Struthio camelus: one gene and its partner. The protein of the gene in region 2 interacts with the protein of the main gene of each other region in a biochemical or structural test. Links are inferred from orthologs where the notes say so. Each region holds a gene or a part of one and is shown on either strand. Other genes may lie near its edges. The genes, in order: S100A11 and ANXA1.

Region 1 (14,667 bases), on a different chromosome or scaffold from region 2:
TGGAGGCAGATAATGTAGTCCCTTACATGAAAAACAGAATCAGATGGGAAGAAAGTAATTCTAAGAGCTAGAGTATGATCCAGGAGACCTGAGACAAACTTTGACAATCTGAATATGCTCTATCATTGCATGCGCACACTCTAGTCCTAAATCCAGTGACGCCCCTAAAGGTATAATTATAAATCTTAGTAATCTTTCCTTTGTGGCAGTGTGGTCATGCAAGCTGGCATGAGAAATTTTCTTGCTCTAGGCAATGAAGGACACCCACTCATATTAGCTATATCTCATTTCAGAGTCCCTGGCCTATCTCACAGCTGCAACTCATGGTCTGGATGAGGAAGCTGAAAGCCTGAAGGAAACATTTGATCCTGAAAAAGAAACAGTTAGTAAATTAACTAATGCTTTATATTTAATTACGAGAGCCTTAGAGATTGGGAAGAGGATGGCAGTAGGATGTGGTGTTAGTGCGATTGATGAGGCAGCTTCTTTCCAGGAGGGAGGAACCATCTCTGTTGCAATCACTGCTGATCATCAGGCTTGAGACTGTCTATGGTGCCTAAAGGAGGGGTAGGTCAAAGAACAGGATTTTCCTTATATGGTCTTTAGCTGATTTCTGTTCTTTTCTGCTCAGATTCCAGACATTGATCCCAATGCAAAATTGCTGCAGCCTCCTGCCCCTGTCATGCCTCTGGATACCAACTGGCCATTGCTGACTGTCTCCAAGGGATTCTTTGAAGGAACAATTGCTAGCAAAGGTATTGCTCTATCCCTGGAAAGCTGCATTAAGCTGGGAAACGTAGAACTGAATTTGTCCCCATGGCTCCTGAACTGTTGCTGTTAAACCTCAGATTTGTTGAATGTTACTAGCAGAGATTGGAATCCAGCTAGATATTTACACCACCCTTAAAATCTCTCAAGAAATCTTTTGTCCTTTTAACAACAGGTGGTGGTTGACAATTGGAGGGAAAGGTATTGGCCTAAGAATTCTTTGGTTAACATCTTTTCTTCTCAGAGATGAATAAATGAATAATCTTATCCTTTTTTTAAGGCAAAGGGGGTGCCTTGGCTGCAGATATTGATATTGACACTGTTGGCACTGAAGGCTGGGGTGAAGATGCAGAGTTGCAGCTGGATGAAGGTGGGTGAATCCAAGAGTGTTTTTTAGAAAAGTGAGCGAGAAGAGCATGCATGTGTGTGTAAGAGCTCTAACTAATTCTTTTCTTCCATGCAGATGGTTTTGTGGATGCTGGAGAAGGCTTTGGAGAAGAAGGCCTAGGTAAAGGGCAGGAAGAAGGAGGCGGATGGGAAGTTGAAGAAGATTTGGACCTTCCCCCTGAACTGGTAGGGTGCTTTTGGGTGCAAGGTGCATTTGTGAGAGTTCTCAAGTATCCTGGTTGTAGTGACTTGAGAAGGCAATGAGAGCTTTCAGGGAAGAATTATTTTCTGGGCTTTACCAGAGAGTCTCTGTCACCACAGTTACAGCCAGCTATGATTTCATCTGGGTGTCAAACACTTGGATGCTATTCGCTGTTCCTGTATGTTTCCCCAGGATGTACCTGCTGGTCCAGCAGGAGGAGCAGAAGATGGATTCTTTGTGCCACCCACCAAAGGCACCAGCCCTGCTCAGGTAATGGGACAAATCTTTTGTTGTCTTTCCAATAAACTTTCTACTTTTGGTTCCCCCTTCCCCCTCCCCCTCCCCCCAAACTCTGTTTCAGACTTTGTGTTAACACTCAGCTGTGAGCACAACACAGGAACTTGTTATGGGAATGAGGGGTGATGAGAGTAGGTAGGGCAAACGTGTGCACGTATGCAGTTCTTGTAATATGTTTCTCTTCCCTTTTTGTAGGTGTGGTGTAACAATTCTCAGCTTCCTGTTGATCACATCCTGGCAGGCTCCTTTGAAACAGCAATGAGAGTAAGTTTCCCCAGGAGTTCTTGGGGAGGTTGGAGGGGAGAGCTTGCCCTTGTGCCCAGGTGTTCTTCTCTCTGATCTAGTCTGAAGCTTCATTTTGTGTCCTTTTGTGAATCATTTCATGCATGGTTTTCTCTGTTTATGAAGTAAGAGCCTGAGTGTTGATGTCTCTGCAGTCTCTGTAAAGCCCTACGCGTCTTTTGCTCAGCAGATTAATGTGTCCCTTTCAGCTCCTTCATGACCAGGTAGGAGTCACAAACTTTGGCCCCTACAAGCAGCTGTTCCTGCAGACCTTTGCCCGTGGCCGTACAACCTACCAAGCCCTGCCTTGTCTCCCTACCATGTATGGATATCCACATCGCAACTGGTAAGCAATGGGGCTAGCTCCTTTTCTGTGCTCTTTGCCTTGTGCCGTTTTCCTCCCTGGCACCTTGGAAGTTCAGTTGTAGCCAGAATTCTTCTCCCTCTCTTCTGAAGGGAGGAGCCTTCCTGTTTGATGGATGTAAATAGGGAGTATTCCATATTTAGTGGGATTTTTCTGCTCTTGTTAGATGTAGAGACTTGAAAGGACTGCCTCCCTTTTTAGAGGTTGAAAACAATGTGAGGCACTTGAGATGCTGGTTTTTCTAGCTCTAATACTTTCCCTCTGGCAAAGCTAATCTGAAGCTAGGACATCTAGAGAACCACAAGTGTATTTTCTATGGTGGTGGCTGGGAGTCACTGTAGAAAAATGAGCCTTACTTTCCAGCTTGTGTTAATGCAGAGACAGCTGGGCATTGTGGGAGGCAGAATTGTGGAAGCACAGATGCCGTTGGTGCTAAGGTGAGACAGACACCGTGGTCCTAGGTCAAAGTGTTGCTGACAAGTTGCAGTTGAGCTGTCAATGTAACGTTGGTGTGTTCTGGATGCCCTCTGTCCTTCCCCAACACCTCTCTGGTGCTCCCAGGAAGGAAGCTGGCTTGAAGAACGCCCTTCCTGCTGTTGGACTGAAACTCAATGACCTGATCCAGCGCCTGCAGCTGTGCTACCAGCTCACTACGGCTGGCAAGTTTGAGGAGGCTGTGGAGAAGTTCCGCTCCATCTTGCTCAGTGTGCCCTTGCTGGTGGTAGACAACAAGCAGGAGGTTGCTGAGGTGAGGGGCAACTCTTTCTTTTGACCATGCCCTGCATCCTCCAGGGGCCGGAGGCCGAATGCCTGACTCCCTGTGTCGCTCTCTCCAAGGCCCAGCAACTGATAGCCATTTGCCGGGAGTATATTGTAGGGCTCTCAATGGAGACAGAGCGGAAGAAGCTGCCCAAAGAGACCCTGGAGCAGCAGAAGCGGATCTGTGAGGTACAGAAGCTCCATGAAATTCTTCGTGGAGTGGTTGGGAGGAAGCTGGGGAGGAAAATAGCCTTTTGGTTTAAAAAGGCACTGGGAATCATGAGTTCTGCCATTTCTACCATTTCCTCTTACGTGGAGTTGTGCCTCGGTTTTCTACCTTTAAAGCAGATGTGGCCGTGATCACCTGGGAGGGTTTGGTATGTTTCTTGCACTTTTTCAGTGCATCCAGTTTCTCACTTGGTTGGTAGTGACTGTATCTCTCCTTTTCCTCCTTCTCCCTAACACAGATGGCTGCCTACTTCACCCACTCCAACCTGCAGCCTGTCCACATGATCTTGGTGCTGCGCACTGCTCTCAACCTCTTTTTCAAACTCAAAAACTTCAAGACAGCTGCTGCCTTTGCTCGTCGGCTGCTGGAACTGGGTCCAAAGCCTGAGGTGGCGCAGCAGGTATGTCTGTGAGGTGCATGGCCAGGAATATAACAGAGTGCTCTCTGTGTGCTTTGGAATGAGACCTGCTTGATTCAGAGAGGACTAACTATTGCTTCCTGCAGGGATAGGCTGAGGCTTTTGTGATCAGGGCAGAAGTGCTTGCTGATGGGAAGGGAGAGGCATTGAGAGGAAGCACCCTGGTTTATGCTTGTTGCCAGTTGAATCTGTTCCACCTCCTGTGGTGCACTTTATTTGGACTGCTTTGTTGCTCCCCCTCTGGTCAATGTGGTTGCTTTTTGCAGACCCGCAAGATCTTGTCCGCGTGTGAGAAGAATCCCACTGACACCTATCAGCTCAACTATGATATGCACAACCCCTTTGACATCTGTGCTGCCTCTTACCGGCCCATATATCGTGGCAAACCTGTGGAGAAGTGTCCGCTCAGTGGAGCCTGCTACTGTCCTGAGTTCCAGGGACAGATCTGCCGTGTCACCACAGTAAGGGAGTGTAAACGTCTGTAATCGTGCACTCCTAGTCCATGATGCTTCCCTTGAGAATTCACTCCAAAGATTCCCCTTTGCGCTCCCTAGACTGACTTGGCCTGGGTTTTGGGTCTAGAGTTGCATGTCTGAGGACTTGGCATGCAAGGAGGAGCAGTTTGGGAATTGTGTAATACAATGTAGTTTAAATCCTACCTTCAGGGACTGACCTTGCAGTGTTCGGCCGTGTGCGTTCCTGAGAACTCCGTAGGCTGTGAACACCACATGTGGGGTTGGGTTGTTGAGCTGCTTTCAAACATTAATCATCTCCCTTTTATTCCCCAGGTGACAGAGATCGGCAAAGATGTCATTGGGCTGCGGATCAGCCCACTCCAGTTCCGCTAGGGCCCTGCCCTGTCCTGGGGAGGTGAGAGGATCAGAGGGAAATGGTCCCGTTTCACAGCACAGTGTTGAAACTTTTACCTCCCATCATTCCGGCTTCTAGTCAAATCTCTTCACCATAGTTGTGCCCGTGCTATTGTCTTACATACGCTTCCTCTCCTAGGAATGCTGTAGTGAGACTCTCCGCTGTTTTTGAGCAGTAGCAACTTGAGAGTCTGTTTCCAGATCCAGTTGATGTGACATTTCTATGTACTATTGCCTCAGAGCTACAGTTCCCCCTCCAAAGCCCAGTCTTTTTCCAGAGGGCAAAGGGTGGCTTTTGCTGAGACCTGGGTACCATACAGTGCACACCATAGAAACTACTTGATAGGCAGTGACTGGCTCTCACTTCCTTTAGAGTTGGGACTCCTGAAAGAAGTACTCAACCTGCTGCAGCTGGAACGGCAGGAAGAGCTGATCTGGCTCTCACTGGAGTGGGGCACTGTCTGGACCTGGGGCCAGCACAGGACCTGACGCAGAGACAGCTCTGCTCCCTTTGGAAATGATGGGAGAGCAGCTCAGAATCTAACTGCTATTGTTGACTTTTTTTGGTTCTGCCAGCTTTTTTCAACATTCTCTACTTCTCACATGAATAAAATAAATTGACCATCTTGATCCGCCTCTTTGGTAGCCCAGTTGGTCTTACTGAGATAGAATGGATGTTGGATTTCATTTCCCCTTTTCATATTTTTTTCCAACCATCTTGTGCTCTTAAGCTACCAGCTTTGGAGGGTTTTAAAGTTCCCAGAAAATGGAGGCTACATTGCTGAAATAATTTAGTATGCTGGCAGGGGGTGCTTTCATTAATTATTAGTGTATAATTGCTCTTACCAGTGCTCAAATTATCGTTACTTGTAATGCTCCTGTCTTCACATTTACCTTGTGTAGTTGTACCATTTGCAATTACTGTGCCCTTCCCCATGATATTTAACAGACTGGATGATCTCCAAGGTCAGATGAATTGTAGTTTTCAGCAGTTACAAGACTGAAACATGTGCAGTTAGGGACGCTGTGAGGTTGAGGGGAAAAGACCTGTGTTCTCACATCAGTGGAGAAGCAGAGGAGAGGAACAAGAGATGCTGGCTCCCTCAGGTGTCTGGACTGGTTGTGTAGTGCTTCCCCCTGCCTTGTGCTACAAAAATAATACCATGCCTTATGCTAGGATTTAAAACCTTTATTTTATTCAGAAAAGGGGGAGTGGGGACACCCACGTTTCAAGGGGACTACTTCCAGCGTTGTGTGGTACTTGCTCACGACAAGTCCACGGTGACGGAAGAGGCAGAGCTGCCTGGGCTAGCGGCGAGGGGCCTGCACAACCAGGGTATCGTGGCATGCTACTGCAATGCCCCCAATGAGGTTCAGGAACTCCTGGAAGTCCAGCTGCCCGTCACTGTTCAAATCAAGTTTCTTCATCATTCTGTCCAGGACAGCTGGGTCCTTCTGATTCTGCAAAAGATCAGGGAGTCTGCTATCAACATCTGCTTAGAGGCAACGGTGCCCCTTGCTGTTATCTGCCAAGGTATGAACCCTGCAGCTACTGAATTTTAATTACCCTTGGAGAGGGGTTGACAGAGGGAGACAGAACTCAGTGGGGGCAACTTTTGTCAGGATCTACTCTTGCTTCTGGCAAAAGTGAGTTCTTCCCACCACTCACCCCACATTTCTTGTGAGAATAAAGGTTTTAACTGCTGTCCTAGGGGCTGAAGTACACAATGGAAAACTCCTGGAAGGGTCTGGCGTGGGTTTTGCTCACCTTTGTGAAGGAAGCCAGCTCACTGTTCATGAAGGCAAGGAACTCTCTCTTGGAGAGCGTGCAGTTGTCCCCTTCGCGCCCTGCATACCGCTGGAAGACAGCCAGCAGGGACTCGATGCAGCGTTCGGTCTCTGTGGGTGACACCTTTGACTGAAGGAGTGAGAGCAAGTTTAGGCTAGCCCTTGAAGAGAGCTCTTTGCTTGCAGAAAAGAAGCAATGTTATTTCTAGAGGAAGGTTGGGGTGAGGGGGACCTTGTGCAATTGCTCTCCTGGAGGAGTCTCCTATGCCCAACCTATTCAGCTACATTTTTCTTTAGTGTTCTTCTAATGCACAACACTGTGGTGAGGAAGTACCCAGGGGAGGGATGGGGTGTGAATCATGCTGCTTTGGGATTCCTGGGCTCTCTAGCATGGAAAATCTCTTGGGGAGGGGAGTTGCCCGGAAGAGGAAGAGCTCATGCAGTGAGAACGGCTGCTCCCTCAGCCTGGAAGAGCAGCTAGTTTTTTCAGTGCTTTCCAACAGGACTGGGCTACGCCTGCTTTTCTAGAAAGATAAGCATTTCCCCCTTTCCCTCCTCCTGCCCTCCCTGGACAGAGCAGAAAGTCTGAGTCAGAAGACAAAAATGCGAGCAGTGCTGGCTCCCTCAACTGCTCGCTTCTGGGACCTGCAATATTGCGATGGCCGGGGGGACGGGGAGCCAGAGGGTGAAATGCTGACCTGGCCAGGAGGGAGCTGGGCTGGCTAGGGCTGCTGCACTGGGGACACCCAGGGAAAAGGGAGGGGGACAACATAGGCCCTAAGCTGAGCTCCAGTCTTTGGGAAAGGGCAGCGCAGGGGAGAGTTGGGAAGAATCTGCCCTTCCCTCTCTAACCTCTGCATCCTGGGGACTCTGTGGCCACATCCTGCCCTGCCTGAGGCTGAATTTAGCCTTTTTTGGTTGATGTGAGAGAAGCCAAGTCGCTTCCGCCCTGGGCCCTGCTTCCTCAGTTCTTGGCTTTGCCTGCGCCCCCTGCCCCGGGGTCTGGTGGAGGGAGAGATGCAGCCCTGACTCCAGGAATGGGTATCAGAAACACGAGCAAGAAATAGAGAGAGAGGGGAAGGCTGTGGGGGGACTGCAGGGGGACAAATGCTACCTCCTGTTCCCCTACAGCTGCAGGGACCCTCTGCCCCCTCCGCAGCACTGCACCCTCTTCTGGCTCCCAGGCCCTCTCCTAGGGAGTGATTTTAATTCAGCCCTTGGCACTGTCTCCTCTTTCTGATGCTAGAGCACGTTTCTCTTTCAGCTGCGCACAGAGCTCTAGGGCTGTTTGCTGGAACCACAAACAATCTCTTGCAATCTCCTTCCAGCTGTTACGGAGTGGCATCTCCCTCCCCTTCCCAGGGACCTGGCTCACTCACCATGGCTGGGGCGTGAGGAGGGGGCTCGATCCTTGGCAGGGGCTGCGGCGCAGCGTGGCACAGGCAGGAGCTGGGGCGGTTATGAGCCTCACTCTGGCTGCCACCGCCCTTCCCGGCAGAGCCAGCGTCGAGCCCTGACTCAGCCCCCTCTGCCGCGTTAGGCAATCACAGCTCTAACGGCAGATCTGGACGTGTCTGTGGTTCCCACCTGGGGCTCAGGAATGTGTGGGGCCCCTCCTCTGGGCTCTCTCATCCTCTTCCCTCTCTATGTGTTATTCTTTACAGTGATTTGCACTTTCGTTTTTCTCCTTCATATCTTTCAACCTTCGTTTTTCTTCCAGCCTGTTTTCTCCCCTCGGTTCTTTGTCGTTTGTCCCTTTGCAGCTCCCTTTCCTTCTCACCCAGCCTAAGGGCCCCCAGGGCTGCTTTGCTGCTACCCAGAATGTCCTCAGTGTTTTTGCTTGCGACAGTGAGGTTTAGCTTCCCCTGCTTTGCTAGAGAGGCACAGGTGAGCAGGCAGCTCTGCCCTGCCGAAGGCAGTGGGGACCTGGGGACAAGTACTACATAGCTGGGGCTGCTGGAAGGGAGCAAAGGACTTGCCAGGGATGTCAGACCCTGGGGACTGTCTGCATCCCTGCTCTTCGTGCTGACCTGTCCCACCTGGTGAGCTACGCTGATAATGTGTTTTAAGCTTGTTATATTGCAAAAGGGGCAGCTGCCTGTGCTGTTGGGTTCTCAGGGGCAGAAGGAGACCTCGCTGGGGCTGGGGTGCCGGTCTGAGCTCCCTACTGCAGCCAGCCACCCTCGTGCCTTATGCTGCTCAGCTGCAGTGAGAGCCTGTGCTGGCCACGGAGGGCTTAAAACGGGGAGATGCAGATGTGGAGGAGGGACACCCAGAAGGCAAGGGATGTGCTCACGTAGCGTGGAGGTGGGACGATCAGGGCTGTCGGATTTGCACTGCCATGAAATCAGCACGGTAGAGAGGAGAGCTGGGCTGAACCCTGGTGCCTGTGGCTACCTTTGCCCAGGGAGCAGGGCTGGTCCCGTGAGCAGTCCAGGGCCATGCCCTCATCCCCCAGCCGCCCTCCATCCTGCAGCCAGTGGGTGCTGGGGAAGCTGCTCAGACATGTTGGTTTATCTGCATTTACATAGCCACTGCGTAGTTACGGCACCCTTTTTCTCTGCTCCTTTGAGGTGAACATGAACATACCCCAAACCCTGCAGGTCGTGAGGGCCAGATTTTCCCCGTGACCACCAGCCCCAGATGGGGCCAGATTTCCCCAAAAACTTCAGGTGGAGCCTGGAGCAGAGTGGCCAAGGATAATGCAGGCAGCCATGACGGTGTGTAGGGAGTGGGGATGCCCTCTGGGCTCAGGGGCAGCTTGTAGGGATGGGGCTAGCTGGGAAATCTTGCTGGAGACTGACTCATCATACGGCAGGAGAAAGGGAAATCATATGAAGCACCAAATCTGGGGAAGAATCCTACTTCCTAATCTATTTTCCTTTCTTGCCCCAATTTCCTTCCCCAAACTATGTTTTCCATGTTTTGGGGAAAAAGTGCCTCCCCCATCCAACCTCTCCTAAGCCTGAAACATTTCAGTGCAAGTGGATCAAAAGGACTTTTCAAAGCAGGGAGCTGGGGGCAGGAAATATGTTGTTCTTCTCTTTGGACTTTGCGCTTCTTTCTGTGCTTTTGCAAACTTCTTTTTGTGATCCCTTAAAACCAAGATAAGAGCTGTTCAGATGGACCAGCATTATTTCCTGTTTTACAAGAGCAAATCCCAGAAAGGGCTCTGGCCTAGCCTGGTCCTAGTTGCAGCGTGGGGTTTGGGGAAGTTTCTGTTTCCTGCTGTTGCTGTGTGTTTGCAGTCGGGAGTTTGGCTGTGTTTGCAGACAGGCCATCTGTGCTGCCATATGTCTGTTACTGAGAGGTGCAACAGTCACGTGCATGAAGGGAGCATCTTGGAGAGTTGTCACCCTGTGCATCCGCCTGTCCCAGGTTGGGACAGATCCTTACGAGTTCCTCTGGCACCAGCTGTGTCTGAAACATTAGAGGAAAGCGGCTGTGCAGCCAGCCTGTGCAAGTGAGGAACCCCGTGCACTTCCTCCTGAAGCCACGTCAGGCTCTAATGGGCTTGAGATGCCCTTGCTCCTCCCATCTGGTGCCATTACCAGCCAGCAGGCTCTGACTTGTACAGCTCTAGTTGCGTTGCAGAGCGAGTCACAGATGGTGGCAGGGTTGTCCTCGCTTCTCCTTCCATCTTCTAGCAAAATCATAGCCCCATCTGCTGCTGAGGGAATCAGTTCCTTATTGCTCAAGGGAAAGGAAAATGAGTAAAATCTGATTTTCGTGAGGGAGGGCCGTGGACATATTCTCCAGTTGTGTGCACCATGTCTGAGAAACAGTGCATTTTCCAGGCCACGTTGCTGCCTCTCTTCTGCCCGAGGACCCGTGAGTGGTCCCAGACATGGGGCAGCCTGGGGTTAAGATAGGCAGATGCCTGTGGCCAGGAAAACGAGCATCTAGATAGCTCCTTAGCCAGCAGCAGATCTCCACTGCGGGCTTTCCCTGCCTGTGTCTGTCGTGAAAGCCAGAGAGCAAGGGCACATCCTCGCATGGTGAGGGCTATATGACCCACCATGAGTCTTAGATTATAACATATGTGGGCTGCTATGGGAGTTTTAGAGGTACGTGGGCTCCTAGATGTGTAGCTGGGTATTTGGAGGGATTTTCAGCAGATTTTTCATCTCTGTCTGAATTAAGATTAGGAGGGATAGGTGGTCTGAACTGGGACGCCCTCCCACCAGCCTGAAGTCTTTGAAGAAATTAGATGCAAGGTTGAAACATGGCAGCAGTCAGTGCAGTCATCAGCTATTTATTGTGATTTTTCATGCAATACGTCAGTGTGAAAAAGAAACAATCCCTCCCTGTACCCGACCCACCACCACCATTACCCTGTGGTAACCACAGCATAACTCAACTACTTCAAAGCCTCCTTGATACTGGAGCTGGGATTATGCTCAGCTGCTAGGAAAGCAAAAATGTGTAACTAAAAGCACTGAGTCTGCATTTAGAGGTGTCTTTTCCCAGCCTCAAGGATTTTCAGGCCCCAGAATGAATATGATTGAGATACTGGGATTTTTTTTTGCATTGCGCAGCAGAAGCTAACAAGCAGGAGAGCCTGCCACAGGGCTAAGGATATGTGAGTGCAGTGTGAGATACAGAACAGTGATGCCACAGGATAGCAGAGATGACAGGGATATAAAGGACAGAGATACCCAAGGAGTCCAATTGCAGTAGAAAAGTGAGTAAATACTGCACTTAAGGTGGATAGACATAATGCAAGAAAGCAGAAGTTACAGAAGCTAGCAGAAGCTAGAGAGTAGAAGCAATCCTCAAAGAGACTTGGGGAAGGCCCACCAACTACCTGGCAGAGACCAGACATCTCCCTAAGATGCCTTGACCTCATCCACACCGGGACAACTTGGTGTCTCCTGTGACCTTGGAGGGCTGGGAGGGCCCTGGCTCTGCTTGGTGCAAAGATGTGGTTCCTCTTCCCCTTGTGTCTGGGACTCGCTTGCTTGGCAGTAGCTCCTCTTGCTGTTTTCTTTCTGTTGCAGGTGGCTCCTCTCTGCATCCTGCTGACAGCAGCTGGCTTCCTCCCTCGGGGGTGGCTGCAGACAGGTATCTTCTGCAGCTCGCTGGCCTGACTTGCATGCTGGTGCCTGGTGCCCTCCACCTTCCCACAGCTGCAACTCTGGAGCCTGGCCTTGGGCCGCCTGGTCCTGGCTGTGTTCGGATGCCTTGGACAGAGGTAGGTGGCTTTTGGCCTCCCTCTCCTTGCACTCGTTCCCCTGCTGACTTGATTCCCCCCAGGGTGATTTGGTCTTCTGTGGCCAAGGCTGGCTTCCCTCCTTCCCTGGCGCTCGGGGCTTGCCCGCTGGGTGGCAGCTGGATTCGGGCTCCTGCAGGACCTGCTCTCCAGAGGCTTTCGATCCGCTTTCCTGTGGCTCCATTTCGGTATCGGGCATCCTTGAACACTGATTGTTCCTCCTGTCCTGTCTGAGTTCAGCCTTGCAAGGTTGATGAGGTTCACCCTTAATGCTATCTGATGGGGGCTCCTGACAAACCCCTTCCTTCACTTCTATTTCAGCCCTCTCGTGCTGACAGGAGCTTTTTCTATTCTCCTGCGGCTCATGCTCATGTGGCTCATTGAGGTCCCCTTTTCTTTCCTGGGGGCTGGAAGGAGGTGGCTGCTGGCTACTGCTCCTGTCCACACATGGTTCCAAAACACATGTGTCTTTGTGCTGCGGGGATTCAGGCTCCTGAGTATCCCCTGGAATTCTCTCGTCCTCACTGGGTTCTGGCTCCTGGCGACTGCTTCCTTCGCGCGGGACTGCCAGAGGCTGTGGTGACACATAGCATTTCCTTGCATAAACAGGTTGCCCCAGGTCATGGGGCTGGTAGCAGACAATCTCGTAGGTGGCTGACTGGGGATTGTTTAGCTTCTGGATCACGTGGATTAAGTATGCCACAGTATGAGGCTTGCAAGGCAGAGGGAGGAACTTGACGTCTGGCTGTACATCTAGCTCATCAGGAAGATAATGGATCCTCCTATCTGCAACAGACTCCAGCTCTGCTGGCAGGCTCAGGTGCTTCGTATCCAACTGCACTATTTGGAAGAGGCTCCTATCATCCCTTCTTCCTTTGCCCTCAATTGATGGGTACCTTTTAGGTTCATGCACTAGTGTTTCTTGCTTGTGTAGCAGTGTGCAATTCCTCTTGCCCTGGTGCTCTGTAGGCTCACAGGGGTTACTCTCTGGTGCCTCACACTGTAACCCATCTGGATGATGGTGGCTAAAAGTATAACACTCTTGTTCTGACTCACTTCTGTCACAAATGCTTCTCTCATGGAACTCCCTCTGGGTGCTCGCGGGAGCTCGCTCTCCTCTCTCCCGTGCCTGGCGTCTGCTGCTCTCGGAGACGTCAGCTGCGAGCTCGCGTTGGCGATCGATCCTCGCCTGGCCCGCTGGCTCTTCCAGCTCTCGTCCCCGGCGAATCCTCCTCTCGTCCTCTGCTGGTTCGCCCTCCTGGGAACGGTCCCTCCCTGCTGTGTCGCCACGTGGCTCCGGTTCGCGGGAGACACGGCAAACCCTCAGGTCTGCCTCGGCTGCCTCTTCTGCGGTCCGGCGGGTCCGTTCGTAGGCGCTCGCGGGAGCTCGCTCTCCTCTCTCCCGTGCCTGGCGTCTGCTGCTCTCGGAGACGTCAGCTGCGAGCTCGCGTTGGCGATCGATCCTCGCCTGGCCCGCTGGCTCTTCCAGCTCTCGTCCCCGGCGAATCCTCCTCTCGTCCTCTGCTGGTTCGCCCTCCTGGGAACGGTCCCTCCTTGCTGTGTCGCCACGTGGCTCCGGTTCGCGGGAGACACGGCAAACCCTCAGGTCTGCCTCGGCTGCCTCTTCTGCGGTCCGGCGGGTCCGTTCGTAGGCGCTCGCGGGAGCTCGCTCTCCTCTCTCCCGTGCCTGGCGTCTGCTGCTCTCGGAGACGTCAGCTGCGAGCTCGCGTTGGCGATCGATCCTCGCCTGGCCCGCTGGCTCTTCCAGCTCTCGTCCCCGGCGAATCCTCCTCTCGTCCTCTGCTGGTTCGCCCTCCTGGGAACGGTCCCTCCTTGCTGTGTCGCCACGTGGCTCCAGTTCGCGGGAGACACGGCAAACCCTCAGGTCTGCCTCGGCTGCCTCTTCTGCGGTCCGGCGGGTCCGTTCGTAGGCGCTCGCGGGAGCTCGCTCTCCTCTCTCCCGTGCCTGGCGTCTGCTGCTCTCGGAGACGTCAGCTGCGAGCTCGCGTTGGCGATCGATCCTCGCCTGGCCCGCTGGCTCTTCCAGCTCTCGTCCCCGGCGAATCCTCCTCTCGTCCTCTGCTGGTTCGCCCTCCTGGGAACGGTCCCTCCTTGCTGTGTCGCCACGTGGCTCCGGTTCGCGGGAGACACGGCAAACCCTCAGGTCTGCCTCGGCTGCCTCTTCTGCGGTCCGGCGGGTCCGTTCGTAGGCGCTCGCGGGAGCTCGCTCTGCTCTCTCCCGTGCCTGGCGTCTGCTGCTCTCGGAGACGTCAGCTGCGAGCTCGCGTTGGCGATCGATCCTCGCCTGGCCCGCTGGCTCTTCCAGCTCTCGTCCCCGGCGAATCCTCCTCTCGTCCTCTGCTGGTTCGCCCTCCTGGGAACGGTCCCTCCTTGCTGTGTCACCACGTGGCTCCGGTTCGCGGGAGACACGGCAAACCCTCAGGTCTGCCTCGGCTGCCTCTTCTGCGGTCCGGCGGGTCCGTTCGTAGGCGCTCGCGGGAGCTCGCTCTCCTCTCTCCCGTGCCTGGCGTCTGCTGCTCTCGGAGACGTCAGCTGCGAGCTCGCGTTGGCGATCGATCCTCGCCTGGCCCGCTGGCTCTTCCAGCTCTCGTCCCCGGCGAATCCTCCTCTCGTCCTCTGCTGGTTCGCCCTCCTGGGAACGGTCCCTCCCTGCTGTGTCGCCACGTGGCTCCGGTTCGCGGGAGACACGGCAAACCCTCAGGTCTGCCTCGGCTGCCTCTTCTGCGGTCCGGCGGGTCCGTTCGTAGGCGCTCGCGGGAGCTCGCTCTGCTCTCTCCCGTGCCTGGCGTCTGCTGCTCTCGGAGACGTCAGCTGCGAGCTCGCGTTGGCGATCGATCCTCGCCTGGCCCGCTGGCTCTTCCAGCTCTCGTCCCCGGCGAATCCTCCTCTCGTCCTCTGCTGGTTCGCCCTCCTGGGAACGGTCCCTCCCTGCTGTGTCGCCACGTGGCTCCGGTTCGCGGGAGACACGGCAAACCCTCAGGTCTGCCTCGGCTGCCTCTTCTGCGGTCCGGCGGGTCCGTTCGTAGGCGCTCGCGGGAGCTCGCTCTCCTCTCTCCCGTGCCTGGCGTCTG
Region 2 (15,671 bases):
CATTCCCAGTGATAGAATGACTTAAAGGACCTTCAGGGCATTCAAACACCTGGAGGCTGAGAACATGGGATTATTCCCTCCCCCCTCCCCAAAATAATAGCCACTGTATCCAAAGACTCGACACTGGCAATGTAGTTTCCAGGGTACTATCACCTCTGTCACAGTTTTCATAAACTGCAGAAGGTAATTGCTGGAGCCTTTTGTTCTGGGAAGCTAAAGCTGTATGCACCACCAGACCCAGGGGCAACACTGACACTTCAGGCATACATTTGAGATGGACTTGGATATACTTTACCTTTCCTTTCAACTGCTGATAGGCAGCTTTGATCTGCTGGCGCTGGGCATTTGTTCTTTTAGTTAAGATATCAATGATGGTGGCTTCATCCACACCTACGAGTAACCATACAACATAACGTCTAATATATCGCAAACGTTAACAGTGCCTAGAGTGCTATTTAACTAAATCATCGTTTTTGTATGTTATTATCTGAAATGTGTCACATTTTGTTTGACACGCTCAAGTTTAACCAAAGGAAAAACTACAATCATCTACTGACTTAGAGAGTGACATAAGGAAGAAAGTTGATAAATCGGTTCCCATAGAACAGAAACCTGTATTTGCCACAGTTTTTCATAAAAAAGCCTTAAAGTCTTCTGGGAGCCAAACCTACACCACAGCATAACTAAGTAAAATAAACAGCATTAAATGACATACTCATTTAATCTTAGCAAGACAGACTGAAAAAGGTTTCACATTACAGCCACATTGGCCTACTGTTAATTCAAGCAAGAAGCCTAATAGAAGCATATAATACAGTATCAGCATATCCACTACTTCTCTCAGGTTTTTTCTTATGGAAATCAAATCAAAAACCATTAGCTTCATGTGTCATAATATTCCTTTTGATTCTCTGGAAATTAAACTGTTACTACACATCCTTCAACACATGCAGGGAGCTTAACATAGTATTAAGGTCTGAAATTGTAATACAATGCCAGGTTATCAAAGAGTTCAGATGCTTTCCCAGGTGGCGTAATTTTGATGTCTTGCTAGGCTTTTGAAAGTGGTTGCATCTCTGCTGCTTATCGTTGCCTGTGACTGATATTTTATCCAGGGCTATGCTCAAATTTTCCTAAGGAAGAATTCCAATGTGATGTGTTAAAATATTTCACTCCTCTTACCTTTGACAGTAATTGCTTTGTCCAAAGCAGCAGCATCAGCTGATGGTTCAAAGTTAGGGTATGACTGGACTGGAGAGCCACCTTTCGAACTTTTCTGCCGGGAGAAAAAAAATACTCATTCCAAAGAATATTTATGCAAAGAAGCAGTTTTACATACCTAAATCATCCTTGCATTCAGGATTGCCTGTTATACCACTGTGAAGAAATGAACTCTGAGTCTAGTAGCTACATATAATTTAAAAGACCCAGTATGACGTATGCATTGGTTTTTCCTCCTAAAGGAACCCGGGGATAACTGGGGGATAATGAATTCCACCACATGACACATTATGTGCTTTGACCTAAGTCAACATGACAAAATAAGTTACTGGTAGGGCCCACACCCCGGCAGAACTATATAACCAATGTTCTCCTCATTACCCTCTTTGACAGCAGCTAAAAAATGCTCTGAGATTCTTGGATGAAATATTTAAAGAAAATCCCACTTGGCGTGAAATATTATAAGACCTTTTAGAACACAACAGCAGTTTAGCTAAACTTTCTTAGAATCAGCTGTACTCTTTGTCTTATATTCAATAATACGCTATCAGAATATTTTTTCATCTTTTGCCTCTCAAGTTAATTAGCACAAGACGAACAGTAACGTCTTAGGGATATATATTTCACATACAGCATTCTGTACTGAATTTTTGCATACTTGTAATATCTGTTAGTTACATTTTCCACAATTTTATCACCAGGAGTTGTATTAAACAGAACATAGATATTGCATACTTAAAGAAGTGTCTGGCATACTTAAAAAAAAATAAAAAAAAAATCACTGTGACTTGTGGAAGCCAACAGAAGAATAGGTCTAGCTCAGTGCCTGGATCCCAGGCTAGCCAGATTAGTATTTGTGTGCTAGTTTCCATGACAAATTTATCTAGTAGCTAAATAAAAAACTGCCTGTAACCACTGTAGCTAGAATGACTCAAGGCCCTGCGAGCACAAGGGGGTTGAGATGTGGAGCCAAGGGATTAGTCATAATATGGTGCCGGACAAAAATCAGAAAGTCCACAAAGAAGATCTAAAGCAGAAAAGTTTGTTACTGAAATTCCCTCTTATACTTTATTTTTCCAAGATGAAAGTTGCTTTCAGAATCTGCCACGACTTCACAGCGTGCTGCTTTACCTGCGCCGACAGCCTTGTCAGTATCCTAATCAGCTTCCTTATCACAAAGACACTCCGGAACCACCTAGTGCACTAACATATAATTTCTCATCACCGTCAGCCTTTCCTTCAGATTTCTTCCAGTTAGTATCACTACCAATCACTTGAGATGCTTTATCACATACAGTGACTCTTCCCACCCTAAGCATGCCATATGGTGAGAAAACCAGTATTTATACAAGGAGCATTAGTTCCTCCTTTGCATTCCTGGGCTCCAACTCATGGCTTCCTGAACCTCAGTCTAAGCACCTCTAACTTCCCCACATACGTCATCTGCACACGTTCTTACACATTCACACTCCTGTGCATCAGATTACTACTTTACTTTGAGTCAAACGACGACTGACCAGTGGAAACAGCAGTTTCATTACAGTAACTGGCTCTGTCTATAAACTAGCAACTAGGCACTGAAATGTGCACCCAAGAATATTTTTTTATCCGATATCAGAATGCTATCAGAGACTTTTTAGACTGTATGTTATAACAAAATCCTGTTCTAATTCTAATCAGCAGAATTTTGCCATCGTCTTTCCTCCCTTCCGAGTCTATGAAAGATGTTCGTTGGCCTACGGCTTTAAACCACTTCTAAAAGTACTTGACCATAAGCATGATGCTCTGAAAAGGTTATAATACTTACAATACATTCCTGCTCCTGATTGTCCATGAACCATGCCTGCTTCAGAAATTCTGCTACCATAGCCATGTTGATGGACTTTCTGGAAAAGATGCATCACATTATAAACCATTTTTTCTCATTTTCATTGCCAGTGCATCTCAAGCTTTCCCACTGCAAAGTCTTTTCTCTTGAATTATGAAACATAGGCGTTAACTTCCCAAGCATTAATTGGTTTGTGCTATTGGAAAGCAGTTAACTTTTGATTATGATGTTCAGCAGATGATGTAATGCTTTGCAGTTGCCTGATCATCCAGACACCCTTAGCTGCTTCCACAAGTTTTAGATTAGAAATAGAATACTAAACTAATTGGATTATTTGCTCATTTCGTACGGTAATACCTAAGTGGTAGCACTGGCTTTCAAAGGAAAGTTACAAGAAACAAATTGTCTTTCTCCCTTATCAAAGGTCCATATACCTGACTGAATATTCAATTCTGTTCAAAGTCAGTGATAAACAAGTATTCATGTATGATCATTTACTGAGTTCTGAGCTTTTGTGTATTGTGTTAAGCAAAAAGATATTCCCCTGTTAAACATACCCTCATTTAATTTCTATGAATAGCCCTTTCTTAAGAAAGATGAGTAGAAGTGGACAGTTTCACCTACACCATTGCTTATTTCTCACATGTACTCTCCAATTTCTACTGAAGAGTAGAGCAATATCCATGCAGGAAGTTAAAAAAAATTTTTGCTTTTCATCATTACAAAAGCAAATCAGGCCAGCTTTTCCACAAGATGTCATGCAAAATAGGAAAAAAAGCAATGGAGAAGTGATTTGAAACCAAGCACTCAATGGTAATGAATGGGCTGCTTCGCAACAACCTTGGTGCAGAGAAAATTCTGTTTCCTAATAGAAACACTGAGGGAATAGAGTGGAAAAGATTACGTTTTATCAGGTAAAGTATTTGTTGTCTGCGCCAAATGGATTTTTCATCAAAACACACTTTTCCACAGAAAACTCTTGGGAAGGCTAGGTTTTAAAGCACACATATAAACAATAAACTAAAGATAACACAGCCTATTAATCTGAGGTATCTTTGAATAACGCCTCACGCATCTAGCGTAACAAGACCAAACACTGTTTGCAGCTGTGTGTATGTGAACCTACTGGAGTTCCTGAGGTACAGATCACATAAGGCAGATCTTACGCAAAAGTATTATAACCAATGCTGACTGTGCAGCAAACGCCCTTGCTTTATTTATGCCCTGTGATCCATACGGTGCTGAATGGCCCTGGGAAAGGAGCAGTCATCTAAAGCGACTCCCTCCTAGGGCCAGGCAACACGGCTGCAGTCAAGCTGCTCCTTTTACCAGTAGCAAAGCTGTAAAGCACATTTCCAGGTCCAGCTGTCAGCAAAGAGAGCTGCCTCCCCATCCCAGCTCCCCATCCCAGCTCCACCCTTTGCCAACAAATTCCTGCTTCTCTGCCCTTCCCTCAGCCCTGAGGGCACAAAGTTCAGCTCTGCCCCTGCTTCTGAAAAACCTGAAGCTGGTTCTGATCCTGTTACTATACATCACTTAAAGTATGTGCAAGTTTAAGGACGGGGACCAACTTTCAGGTATGTGTAACTTACTCAGAAGTCCGGTCTGAAGACCAGAAAAGGTTATTTATGTTGCTTGCCAAAACAGTATTTTGTCGAAACGATCTAGTGACTCCTGTACCACCCTTGCTTTGATAGCTGAAGTGCATGAGGCCAGATGAAGTGTTGTGGTATCTAAAATCCTGCTGTATTCTGTAACAGGCAATTGCCCTGCACAACGAAGATTGTTTGCAGCAGGATGATGACATTTTATAGCCTCTGGGCTGAGCGCTGCGTGCCTGGTCACCGGCAGTGACGCACACAGGTATGTCTGTCTGCTAACAGGTCTGCAGACTGTACTCTTGGTTACAATTTAAATTTAATAAGCCAGATTCAGTTTCATAGCACCAGATCTACCAAGGGGTAGAACCAAAGTTGCATTTGGGCTGACAGCGTTAACATTTATCGGGAAGGAAGCTGGCAGGGCTGGCCCCAGGGAGAACCACTTACTTCCCCAACCCTTCTGCCTCTCCCCATCCACACCCTCACCCAGCTCTGGAGCTCCTGCTGCTCAGGGCAATGACTGAAGCAGAGGGCTGCTAACCTGCACTGCATTGTGGTTCATTAAGCCTCTAAGCCTTTATGCCTATTCAAATTTAAACTAGAAATACAGTGGAAGAATTATGTGGCTTAAAAACAAAACCTTTATTTTTTCTGCCTTTTAAATAAAGACACTTTGGCGTGTACATCCATCTGCTTCCATCTAGTAAACAAACAGTATTATAACTTAAAAAAGAAGCTAAAGTAGACAAATGCTCTTGAGAAATGTTAAAGACTGCTTACACTGGCTCAGAAAGTTATGAAACCAGCTTACATGTAAAATTGTTGTTTGCTATCTTTATAAGAAATCATGACTAATACAAAAAGATTGCAGGAATCCAGGGGAAAAACAGCCAGCCCCCTAGCAGAGTAGGGGCCTTTCCCAATGCTTTGACCCTTGCCACTCTAGAATGCAAACAGCTCATGTTAAGCACAGCCTAGGTTTAAAAGAGATAAATTCAGACAAAAAAAAAATATCTTGAAGAGGGGGGAATGAACTACTGGCTTTCTACCATACTTTCTCCTAAAAGTCTATGAACAAGGAGAAAAAAATATACATATATCTACACCACATAGCTATTCAAAATTATTCTGTTTAATAAAATATTGTACACACTGTGTGCCCTACGACCCAAACTGGAATCTTTAGACATCCCAGTTAAAAGGAGATAGGAATTTAAAGTTTTTCAGTTTGAAAAATATTATGATTATCATCCATTTTATCAGTCCAAATTGGAATAATTACTATTGCATTTGGAATGACAAATAAAAAGGAGATTTGGACTGAAAGTCATAAATGTTCCTTTACAGGAATGACTGATAAGTTTGTTACAGTCTGGATGCCACTCCCTGCAAGAAGTGCCCCTGAATTTGACATGTTTAAATTCTAAAAAGTTTTCAGAAAATAAATACTACCTATTTATTCAACATATTTAAAGACTCCAACTTTTACACGACACCCTCAGCTATAGAGGAGTCAAATCAAGTTCATCCCTGCCATTTCTCTATCCTTATTTAATCACACATCAAATATATCATCTCTGATTACAGTCCCATGCTAATTACCAGAATTTTGATGTAAATTAAGATCATAACACCCTGTCAGAAAAGCAGGCAGTAGTTGCAGGCGTTTCTTTTACAACAACTATGTGTTTCTTTTATGCTTGCAAAGTCCAGTGGATAAAAATGAAACATCATGGAGGAAAACAGCCTCGCCCTTGGAAAATTCAGTGGAAAGTGTCAGCAGAACCAATCCCAAATTATACAGCCCTTACTTCTGTGACTTTGCACAAGTTTTTAGCTACAGAGCAGATTTTTGCTGTTATGTTCCTTAAAGGTTCTTTTGTCTCACTTTCATCATTTTCACGAGCAAAGACTGATCTACTTTCCCAAAGCAGGGAACTGCTGTTGAGGTTAAAGCAACTGCTTTTAAAAACATTTTAAGTTCCCATATAAAGCACATTCGTTTCCTAGTGATTCCAGTTTTGCTGCAAACAGATTTCTACAGCAGCCTACTACAAAGGGGAAAATGAAAGCACAGGAAGCAGTAAACTCCAGTAAGTTTACTTTTAATCATTTAAGCTATTTTTTTCAACTCCTCGCGTGCATTAAATAAAAGCAGTTATTGTGTAAACTCCTCCATGTACATGAAATATTTCAAAACTGAAAGAATTTCTTCTGCCTATACCCTTCTTTTCTGGTGGCAACAAATCCAGCCTGTACAAAATTGCACCAGGTCACTTGAGAAACACAACTCTTAAAGCTTGTCGGGTCTACAAAGAGCAACAAAGAACTACAAAAACCTACCTTCTGCCTCACAAACGTTAGTTTTCAGGAGGGTACAGCCGAGAAGAAAAGAGCTGTGGCCTTGCTATGGCTTTTATAGTGCTCTGCAGCACGCCCCACCTAGCAACCAGAGTGTTTCCACAGCCCCAGTAACTGGTTGCTCTTTGCTACAGGCTAAATTGGGGTATTGTCCAAAACACACAGAACTGCACAAAAGAAGTCATTGCAAAACCATGCGCTGGAAGGAAGCAGGAGCAGATTACATAGGGGAAAAGACAACTCATGAGCATGCCTTGGTAGGTTCCAGTCTCCACAATCAGAGCCCTCACTGTAGTGAATTTCCATAAATCTTTTGAGGTTATTGGATTAAAATACTAAAGAGACAAAAGCTAAGCTTTAATTACTTCCTGGACTTTTTGACACCTCTTATACAAGTAAAAAGTGAATATATTAAGACATCTCATTCCCCAGTGAAAATTAACAACAAAAAAAAAGAAAAGTAGAGTGGAAAAGAGTTAACGCAGGTTCTTGGCTTTACTGAGCTCTGGCAGCTATTAACTCTGCTTCTGGCCATGAATTCACAGCAGAGTTGCCTCAGTAATAAGACACCTCCAAAAACGAATCTCCCTATACTATGTCAAAAGGGCACTGGGGGGTTTTACGATTTTTTTTTTTGGGAAAGGTAGCAGTTCGGACCTGCTAAGCTTAACAGAAGTGAGAAGAAGAATTAGGTACTTGCATAATTAAAAATGGTTTGAACCACTTGGCTTAAACCCTGAAGTTCAGAGGGTGCTGGCCTGCTTGCCAGAAGGGGTGATCCACAAGCTTTCCCTCATCACGCTGGCCAAACGCCCCTTCCAGAGCACTTCCGGCACAGCGCCGAGCGCACGCATGGCACGCGTCTCCGGTGGGCGCAGCTCGCGCTGCCCCGGGAAGAAGTACCAGTCTCAGAAGGGGAAGCATCTGAAACTAACAGCTTGGCCTATCTGCCCAGCTGATACAGACCTGCTGCAAAACGCTGGCAGCAGTAGAAAGGTGAAGTAGGGCTGATGTGCCTCTGATAAACCTGCATGAAATACAGCCTTTTCTGGAGCCCTGCGTTTAGCAGTTAATGAAATGAGGTGGGAGGGGCACAGACTGCAGGGCAGTGTAAGAGGAGCCACCTGCTGCAAATGCTTTCATTACAGCACCCTTATGTTCAATTTGCTTCACAAAAGGGCTATTTCAACTTTGGAAACAGGCTGCTTCTTTTTTTCTTCTTCTTCTTTTTTTTGTTTCTTCTCTTTAATCAAGTATGTGGTGCAGCAAGCATGCACCTTCCTGTGCCCTGCTCCCTCAGGGCAGGGGGACGGGTACCCATGGCAGCCCCCAACCCTGGCCCCAAGGAGCCCCCGCAGCGCCAGGACAACAGTCTTCTCCTGCATATAGCACCTTCCTTCTCTCCTCCGCACTACATGTGTTATTTAGCAATATATTAGTATTTCAGGTGTTTTCAGACAGCTGAATAATTGAAGGGGTCTGCCAGTTTAAACGCTGATATTGTCAGCAAGCTGTCAGGTTGCATTGAGTTTTGTTTGTTTAATTATTCTGTGCGAAAGTCAGATTACTTCTGCCTTCCTGACCTTGTCCATGTCAGTATGAAGTTAACGTTATTCCTTTAGTGGTTTCCGATGTTGGCCAAAAACTGTGTTTACACTCTTTTTCTGGAACTGTTTCCCTTGCCTGTTAATGAGCATGACTAATTATAATCCATTTACACTGAAAAGCTGGAAGTATGTTTGTATCCTGGTTTTCCTTGCTGAGTCTTTCGAAGGCCGGAAATAACCTAGAAAGATAAGTTATGCAGACTCAGAGCTTCCTTATAAGTTGCTAGCATTTTCTGAGTAATGAAAATAATACAGCAGCATTTACTAGAGGCCTGTAAGGGCAGGAAACAGTGTGTTAGAAGTACTTAGTAAGACGTTCTTCCAGCTCAAACCTTTTTTAATTTGCTTTCTCAACAGTTGGACTAATGTGCTGTTTTCGTCACTGTAGTTTTCTACTTTTATTTTATTTACTTGTTTTATGTATTTAGTCTTTCAAGCCTGTGTTTCAGCTTTCGGAGTGAGCTGAGATGAAGCCATTTTGCTGCATTTCTTTTCAGGAGCTGTTTGCAATTGCTTTTTCTCTTTTCTAATGGGCAGAGATGTTGACTCATCGTCTTCCTGAAATCAGACTGAGTCATCAGAGCCCTTTACTGTATAGTAGTCTTACACTTAAAAATTGCAATTTAATTGGAGAGAACCTAAGCATTTATTGTTAACTGTTTAACAGTAACTCCATCATTTGTTTCACAAAGCTGTAGTAGTTTGTAAACAGCTTCAGGATTTGGTATTGTTTATGCAAAAGATGCAATGCATGGAGCTACTGTCATAATAGAAATGAGAGAAACTTTTTTTTTACTTTTACACTCAAAACAACATGCCTCAGATACTGCTAGCATCAGTATTGTGATATAATAGTCACCTAGTAAAGTATACAATTGTTCCTGTGAGAACTGGAAAAGTACTCACTCAGAGTAAAAACAGAGCAAGAGAAGAATAGCACTTTTTGATAAACTACCAAATTTGGCCTCACCAAATATTTGCCTTGAGGCTTATGATAACAGCTCAAATGGGCAAACAGAGTTTCCCCAAGCCAGTCATCCTATAGAGCACTGGTGAAAGCCAAATAACACAGGAATTTCTTGGAGTCTGGGAGAAAGACAGGAGCCCTTACATCTGTTTCAGAGGCCAGTGATTCCCCTGCCTTAGAAATGCCCTTCTGTGTGCATTTCAGTGGGAATGCCGTAAAGAGGACCTATATTTGGGAAGGTTTGGAAATGGATCATTCTACCTACACTCAGCTGAGGAAGCCCATTGTACTGATCACCTTCAGATTACCCATGAGATAAATGTTAAGTGAAAACTGATGCTCACACATTGCATTGTTCTGAAATAGCATTGTCCTGCAGGAGCGCCTGAGTGTACTGAGTCAGATAATAAAATAAGTCAGAAAATAGAGCTCTGCCTGTTTCCCACCAGGTCAGTCATCCGTTTGGGACCAGCTGATAGCAAGCCAGAACAAGCTGGAAGCCACCTCTCTGTCTTGCACCCTGTGACTTCATTCCTTCTCACTAGCTTTTATACACACCTCGTGAAACTGCCGAGAAATGTATTACTCCATTTCCTTAGACAGCAAGAGCCTGAAGGGCAACCAGCTATACTCAGGTTTCAAGTAACAGATACAGTTAATACAGATGATACAGATACATATGATGTCAGCACTGTATGAGTACTAACAAAGGCAGTAAAGGTTCTGGCAACACTTTCCAGTGCAAACCCAGGACTTCCCCCACTAATGCATATTTGGCAAAGTACAAATTCCTGTTTTAGGAAGAGTATCTCTATTAGGTTGTTCAGAAAAAAATCTTTCCTGCTTATTGAAGTATAGTGCGTTCTCAGATCTTCATCACTTTGACATTACAGAAGATTAAATTTCAGTTTCAGATAAAACAGCAACCCTATCTGTTGTTGTTCATCTGCTCATTTGCATCTAATCTTTGTGATTCTAGATAGGTCCATGTATAGTTGTGCTGTGATCATGAAAATATACAGTTTAACTAACTGTTTGCCTGGGTAGTATACAGTAGTGTAGACTTCAAATCCAGACACAGATTTTTCTTTTTACTTCCATGCTCTAAGAAAAAAATAGGAGGGGAGGGAAGGGGAGGGGTGGGGGGCGCGTATGTATAAGATAGGTAATCAAAACAGCGGCTGCTGTGTTAAAGGATTTGCTTTCATCGATGCATTATTTCTCACTTAGTTCACGTTTCAGCTGCTGCCCTCTGCAATTTACAAAGGGGAAAAGATGGGAGAAAACAGGCAAAGCATGCATTTATGTATCGATAATATTTCAAATTAATTCATGAATATTTTTGAGGAATATTTATAGCTGGGATTCATTGTATTTGTTTTAGCCTTGCACAACATATTTATCATTCATCTCTCTCTTTCACCTTGGATTAGCCAATATTTTGTTAGTGTCTCATGAAATACTGAATTGGCATTGATCCTCTGGCAGGAGGAATTCTGTACTTGAATCGCACATGTACCTTCTGTCCATAAATAGGTCTAATACTTACTCTTCACTTAGCTGCAGTAAATACCTTTCTGTAGCTCAAGAGATTTCTAGAAGTATAAAGAGATTTTCTGTTTCTCATTGTAAACCATAGCTTGGCTATTCAGAAAACACAAAAAGTTAGTAAACTGTCCCATACATAATGAAATAAATACCAGCCCATGCTGTAGCAGGAATGCGCAGCTTAGCTATATGTGAAGTGATGACATCTCAGCATCACCTGTGGAACTAGAAATCCCATTCACTTTAAATAAACTAGAGCAATGTTACTGATTTCAGTGGACCCAGGAATTCATCTTAGGGATGCAGATTGAGAAACATTTCCAGAAGCTTTCTTGACTTGTCAGAATGCCTTCCAGGTAGAAGCCCAGACTCCACTATGGTTGTGTGCCAAAGTAATTTATATGAGACAAATCTGAGCCTTCTAGGAAGCCTCTAGGAAAAAAGGTTTGGAAACCCTGGTTACACAAACCCTCTTTGGAATTGCAGTAGAACAATGAAAGTACTCAGAAGTTTATACGCATGTACTCCAGGCCCAGGTCTTTTACTCTTTCCCCTTTTTGTTGCCATGAAGGTGGTACTTCAGTGAGGAAGGTACTACACAGAGCACATGCAGTGAGAAGATGGATGAGACAAGGAAGCGTGAGCATACCAGCCTTTTACTGGCCTCTGGCCTATGCTGAGTATCTGCAATGCTAATCAGAGGGGCACATCAGAAGTGGCATTCAAGAAAAGGGAACACAAATGGCAGAGCTTTATTTTAAGCAATAGAACAATATATGACTGCTGTGAACAGCTTAGTGCCTTCGTGGAGGAAAAAACTCTTTTTGTGGACAAAAGTAAGGTAAGCTGCTGGCCTGCCACAACTGGGTCTCGGAGAGGTGTAACCAGGCAATGTCTTCCCCTGAGCCGAGAAAGCTGGGTAAATAGTGCTCTGCATCTCACCAGAAGTAGAAACCCAGCTAAAAAATAGTGTTCTTGTAACCTCAAAGAAATGAAAGACAACACTAACTAGCAAAAAGTTAATGAGCAGATAAACAGTCTATGATGTTGCAATATGTAGGTAATGTTTTTGTCCTCCAAGTTAGCTCCACAACTGTATTGCTATTTCCATGTTCTCTTTTTTCCTTTAAGGAAAATTAATATATAAAACATTTCCAAGGTTCTTGTAAGCAAATCGTTCTGCCTTGGCCGTTTCTCTGTGTTGAAACACGTACCACTATTTGCATACATTGATGGTAGCAATCCAGGTTAAAAAAAACATATCTTACTCCATAAATACAGTGAGGAACAATTATCACATGTCAAAGCTTCAGAATCACTTCAGTTAGGCTGAGGCCTGTTTGGAGTGTCCCAGCCCTGGCGTGGCTCCTACTACCCTTAGAAAAACAGGAATGACATGATCAGTGAATAATAGTAGCTTATGTTTGCTTATTGTCTATGTTCAGAGCGTGGTAAGAACAGTCAAGAGAAGGTTGAGAAAACTTGGCATTCAATTTTCTCTTTGTCATACATGGTCCTAGCTGTTCCCATTATTAACAGGGAACTGTCAAGGTTAGCAAACGTTATTCAAGGTATCTTGGGTATTATTATTTCACTGAGTATTGGCCTGCCAAAATAAATTCTGTGCAGAGGACACAGAACTATCTTCTCAGTTAGTCAGTGACTGTAAAAGTGATTAGCTTCCACAGAAGATTAAAATAGTTTCTTCTCAGACAAAATGTAGATCTTTATGGGGCTTTCCCTCAAACCTTCGCAGAAAAAGGATATAGATACAAAAAAAAAAAAAAAACTAAACAGATATATTCCATGTGAAGATGTACTTTTTCAGGCCTCCGCCATTTTATGTGTTTTCTCCTCAATATAAATGTAATACTTTTGTTGACATTCAACAAAAGAGTTTGCATCAGGGATATTTGTTCCAGACTTCTACATTCAGATGTTGAAAGGCAATTGCTTGTTGTGTTTCTAGCTCAGAAAACAGAAATCTCCTGTTTTTATGTTTCAGTTTTACTCTAGAGTGAGTTGCTTCATGGCTGTTACCGCTTGGGGAAAAATACTGCACAGAGCACAACGGACAACAACACAGTTCAGTCATAGCTATTCATAAGAAACTTTAAAGGACTTCGGCTTGTTTCTATTTGGAAGAGAAGAAACCTCAAGGCAGGTTTGTATTTGTTGCAATTTGTCCCATTGTAAAAGTGCCCAAAGGTACGGTTCGTTACTCAGTGGTTGATTTGCATCTGAACTTCCTCAAAGGGGAAAGGTGCAGATGTGATATGTCATAGGTGGCCCAGTTCTAAACTAAACCAACCCTCTCAGGTTTTTTATCCCTGGAGCTGCTGCTACTACTAGGTTTTTCAAAGAATCATAGTGATTGGCAATATCGGTAGAGGAAGAAGAGGTTCCCAGCCCTGGAAGTTTGCCTTCTCAAAATTATGCATAAAATATTATTATCCATAACACAACACTGTAGGCAAGAGTGAAATATTGAGTCCCAACATGGTAGTGATTTTAAAAAGGAAGGCCTATGTTGTAATTGATTATTAATGGCATTTTATGAAGGGTGATTTAAGTAAAAATGTAAAGAAGGTTTGCAGATATTATTTTTAATATAGTATTAGCAAGAACACATGAGTCAGAAAAGAATACTGAAAGGAGTGGTATTAAAATGTGTTTCTTTAGTAACGAGCACAGTCAGCTGCTAGTTCAGGACTGAGGCTATTATTCACTCCTAAAATGCTTAGTGACAGACACAAAGGACATGGCAATGAATGTTGAAAAATGGAAGTTGAAACCTGACATAAACCTAACAGTTTCTGGTTTTAGCACTATTTGCAGTGCTAATTCTAAGTTGTATATACTTTTATTTCTATCAAAAAATTCTGGAAATGTGATCTGTCAAATATAGGTTTCTATTGTTACATTTGCAATTTTTGAAACATTTTCAGCTCTTCAGAGGTTACTTTTCTCTTGCCTTTTCTCCTTTGCCCTTCTTCAGTTTTCTCCTCCATTTTTTCCCTGCAGCAAGAGACAAAAGAGGGGGGGAAAAGAAGAAAAGGACTCCTGAATATTTTTATTGTCATAAAAAGAAATAACACAAAAATTTCTTTTTAAATAAGGAAAGGACAGTCTTTCAGGGAGGCCTTTTATCTAGTCCCATGATTTATTCCTCACAGCGCAGTGAAGCTATGATGTATTCAAAAGAGGACACCAGAGAAACAAGTCATACAAATTGGTTAGTTGTGTCTTAATTGGAAGGAGATTCCCCACAAAGTTGCTCCTTATAAACGGATGGTGAAACTGCTTGTGGAGTTAGGGATATGAAAAGCCTCACTTTTGGCCTCCTGTTTTTAATCCTTTTTGACATAAGGGTGGGGTCCAGAACAATGGCAGCAAAGGTTGGACCGCGTCAGCCTGGGAAAAATTTATTCTATATTTGCTTTTGCAGCTGCTGGCTAGGACTTGCTTCTCCCAGTTCCTGCTACTGGGTTGTTCATATGAATATAGGAACATATCATAAGGCATGTGCCTAGTTTACTCCAAGAGAACACAATATTTGCCCTATAGTTCAAAACAACCTGCCAACTTCATGAGCTGAGACTAATCTCAGCATAATGTTATTGGCAGTGATAAATACGTTTTTTACCTTCATAAACCAAAGAAGGGAGAGAGTACAACGCAATCCTCCCAAATAGGACAGACTATGTTCTAACAGAATACCAGTTTCACATCTGGAAGCATTTAATAACCGTGTTTTTGTGAAATTAGGGCTGAAATTGCATGAAACACTCCTTAGAGTTTTACTAGTTTCATCACTACTGGATATGTAGCAAGAGTGTCATATTTCACATTCTTTCTGCTGAAACAAAGAAATGTGGATATTTGTAAATATTTTCATGAAACACTTTTAATCTTGTGAGTGTTTGTGCTTTCTGGTATATAGCATATGCCTCTATTCTTTTCAGTTATAGCTGTCTTCCACAACTTTGAGTTTCATCTAGTAAGATTTAGTTTCCTGACAGAGCAGAAGTTGCTAGCCACAGGAAACAGTAGAAGAAGAAACATGATCCTTATCTCCCATTTTACTTTCTACAGGTATCTTGTTGCCTAGCGAAGCTCTTGCATTTTTAAAGATAAATATTTATATACGTAGCGTAGGAGGCTGACAGAAAATACCAGGCTTTAATTCGCACCTCTGTGGAAAACACCGGCCCTGAGAAACAGACCAAGACAATGGATGAAGGTAACTCTTTAAAGACATAATATATATTTTGAAAAGCTCGGAGTGCTTGTGTTATGTTATAGAACACAGTTATGGAGAGTGGAAGGGTGGAGCCAAGCAAATACTGTGTTAACAGTCTGACTTTGGAAAAAATAATCGTCTATTGTTAAGCTTCTTAGCTATAAACAAAAGTCAAGGAAAAAATATCTCACTGATACACAAAACATGCCAAAAAGCTACGTTGTACAAGTAACAAAAGTATGGAATACATATTGTTTCCACAAATGGATAAGTATAGTTTTGAATAAACCTAATA

Evidence for each region.
Region 1: the proteins of ANXA1 (region 2) and S100A11 form a complex in vitro, tested with the Homo sapiens proteins (2 studies listed by BioGRID). The link is inferred for Struthio camelus from reciprocal best matches to the Homo sapiens genes ANXA1 and S100A11.

Annotation. Positions count from the first base shown.
Region 1 is NC_090971.1:5,117,015-5,131,681, reverse strand, and holds S100A11 (protein S100-A11), read right to left. Parts: upstream 8,137-14,667; 5' UTR 7,746-8,136; coding exon 7,743-7,745; intron 6,494-7,742; coding exon 6,344-6,493; intron 6,037-6,343; coding exon 5,884-6,036; 3' UTR 5,750-5,883; downstream 1-5,749. Other genes in the region: COPA (coatomer subunit alpha), read left to right, coding at 294-382, 632-755, 1,049-1,138, 1,232-1,341, 1,550-1,627, 1,850-1,918, 2,146-2,282, 2,862-3,048 and 4 more; trichohyalin-like, read right to left, coding at 11,193-14,667. UniProt on the Homo sapiens protein: Facilitates the differentiation and the cornification of keratinocytes.
Region 2 is NC_090982.1:27,179,011-27,194,681, reverse strand, and holds the start of ANXA1 (annexin A1), read right to left. Parts: upstream 7,223-15,671; 5' UTR 6,994-7,222; intron 3,108-6,993; 5' UTR 3,095-3,107; coding exon 3,029-3,094; intron 1,277-3,028; coding exon 1,183-1,276; intron 391-1,182; coding exon 296-390; intron 1-295. Other genes in the region: probable DNA double-strand break repair Rad50 ATPase, read left to right, coding at 15,367-15,376. UniProt on the Homo sapiens protein: Plays important roles in the innate immune response as effector of glucocorticoid-mediated responses and regulator of the inflammatory process. Has anti-inflammatory activity.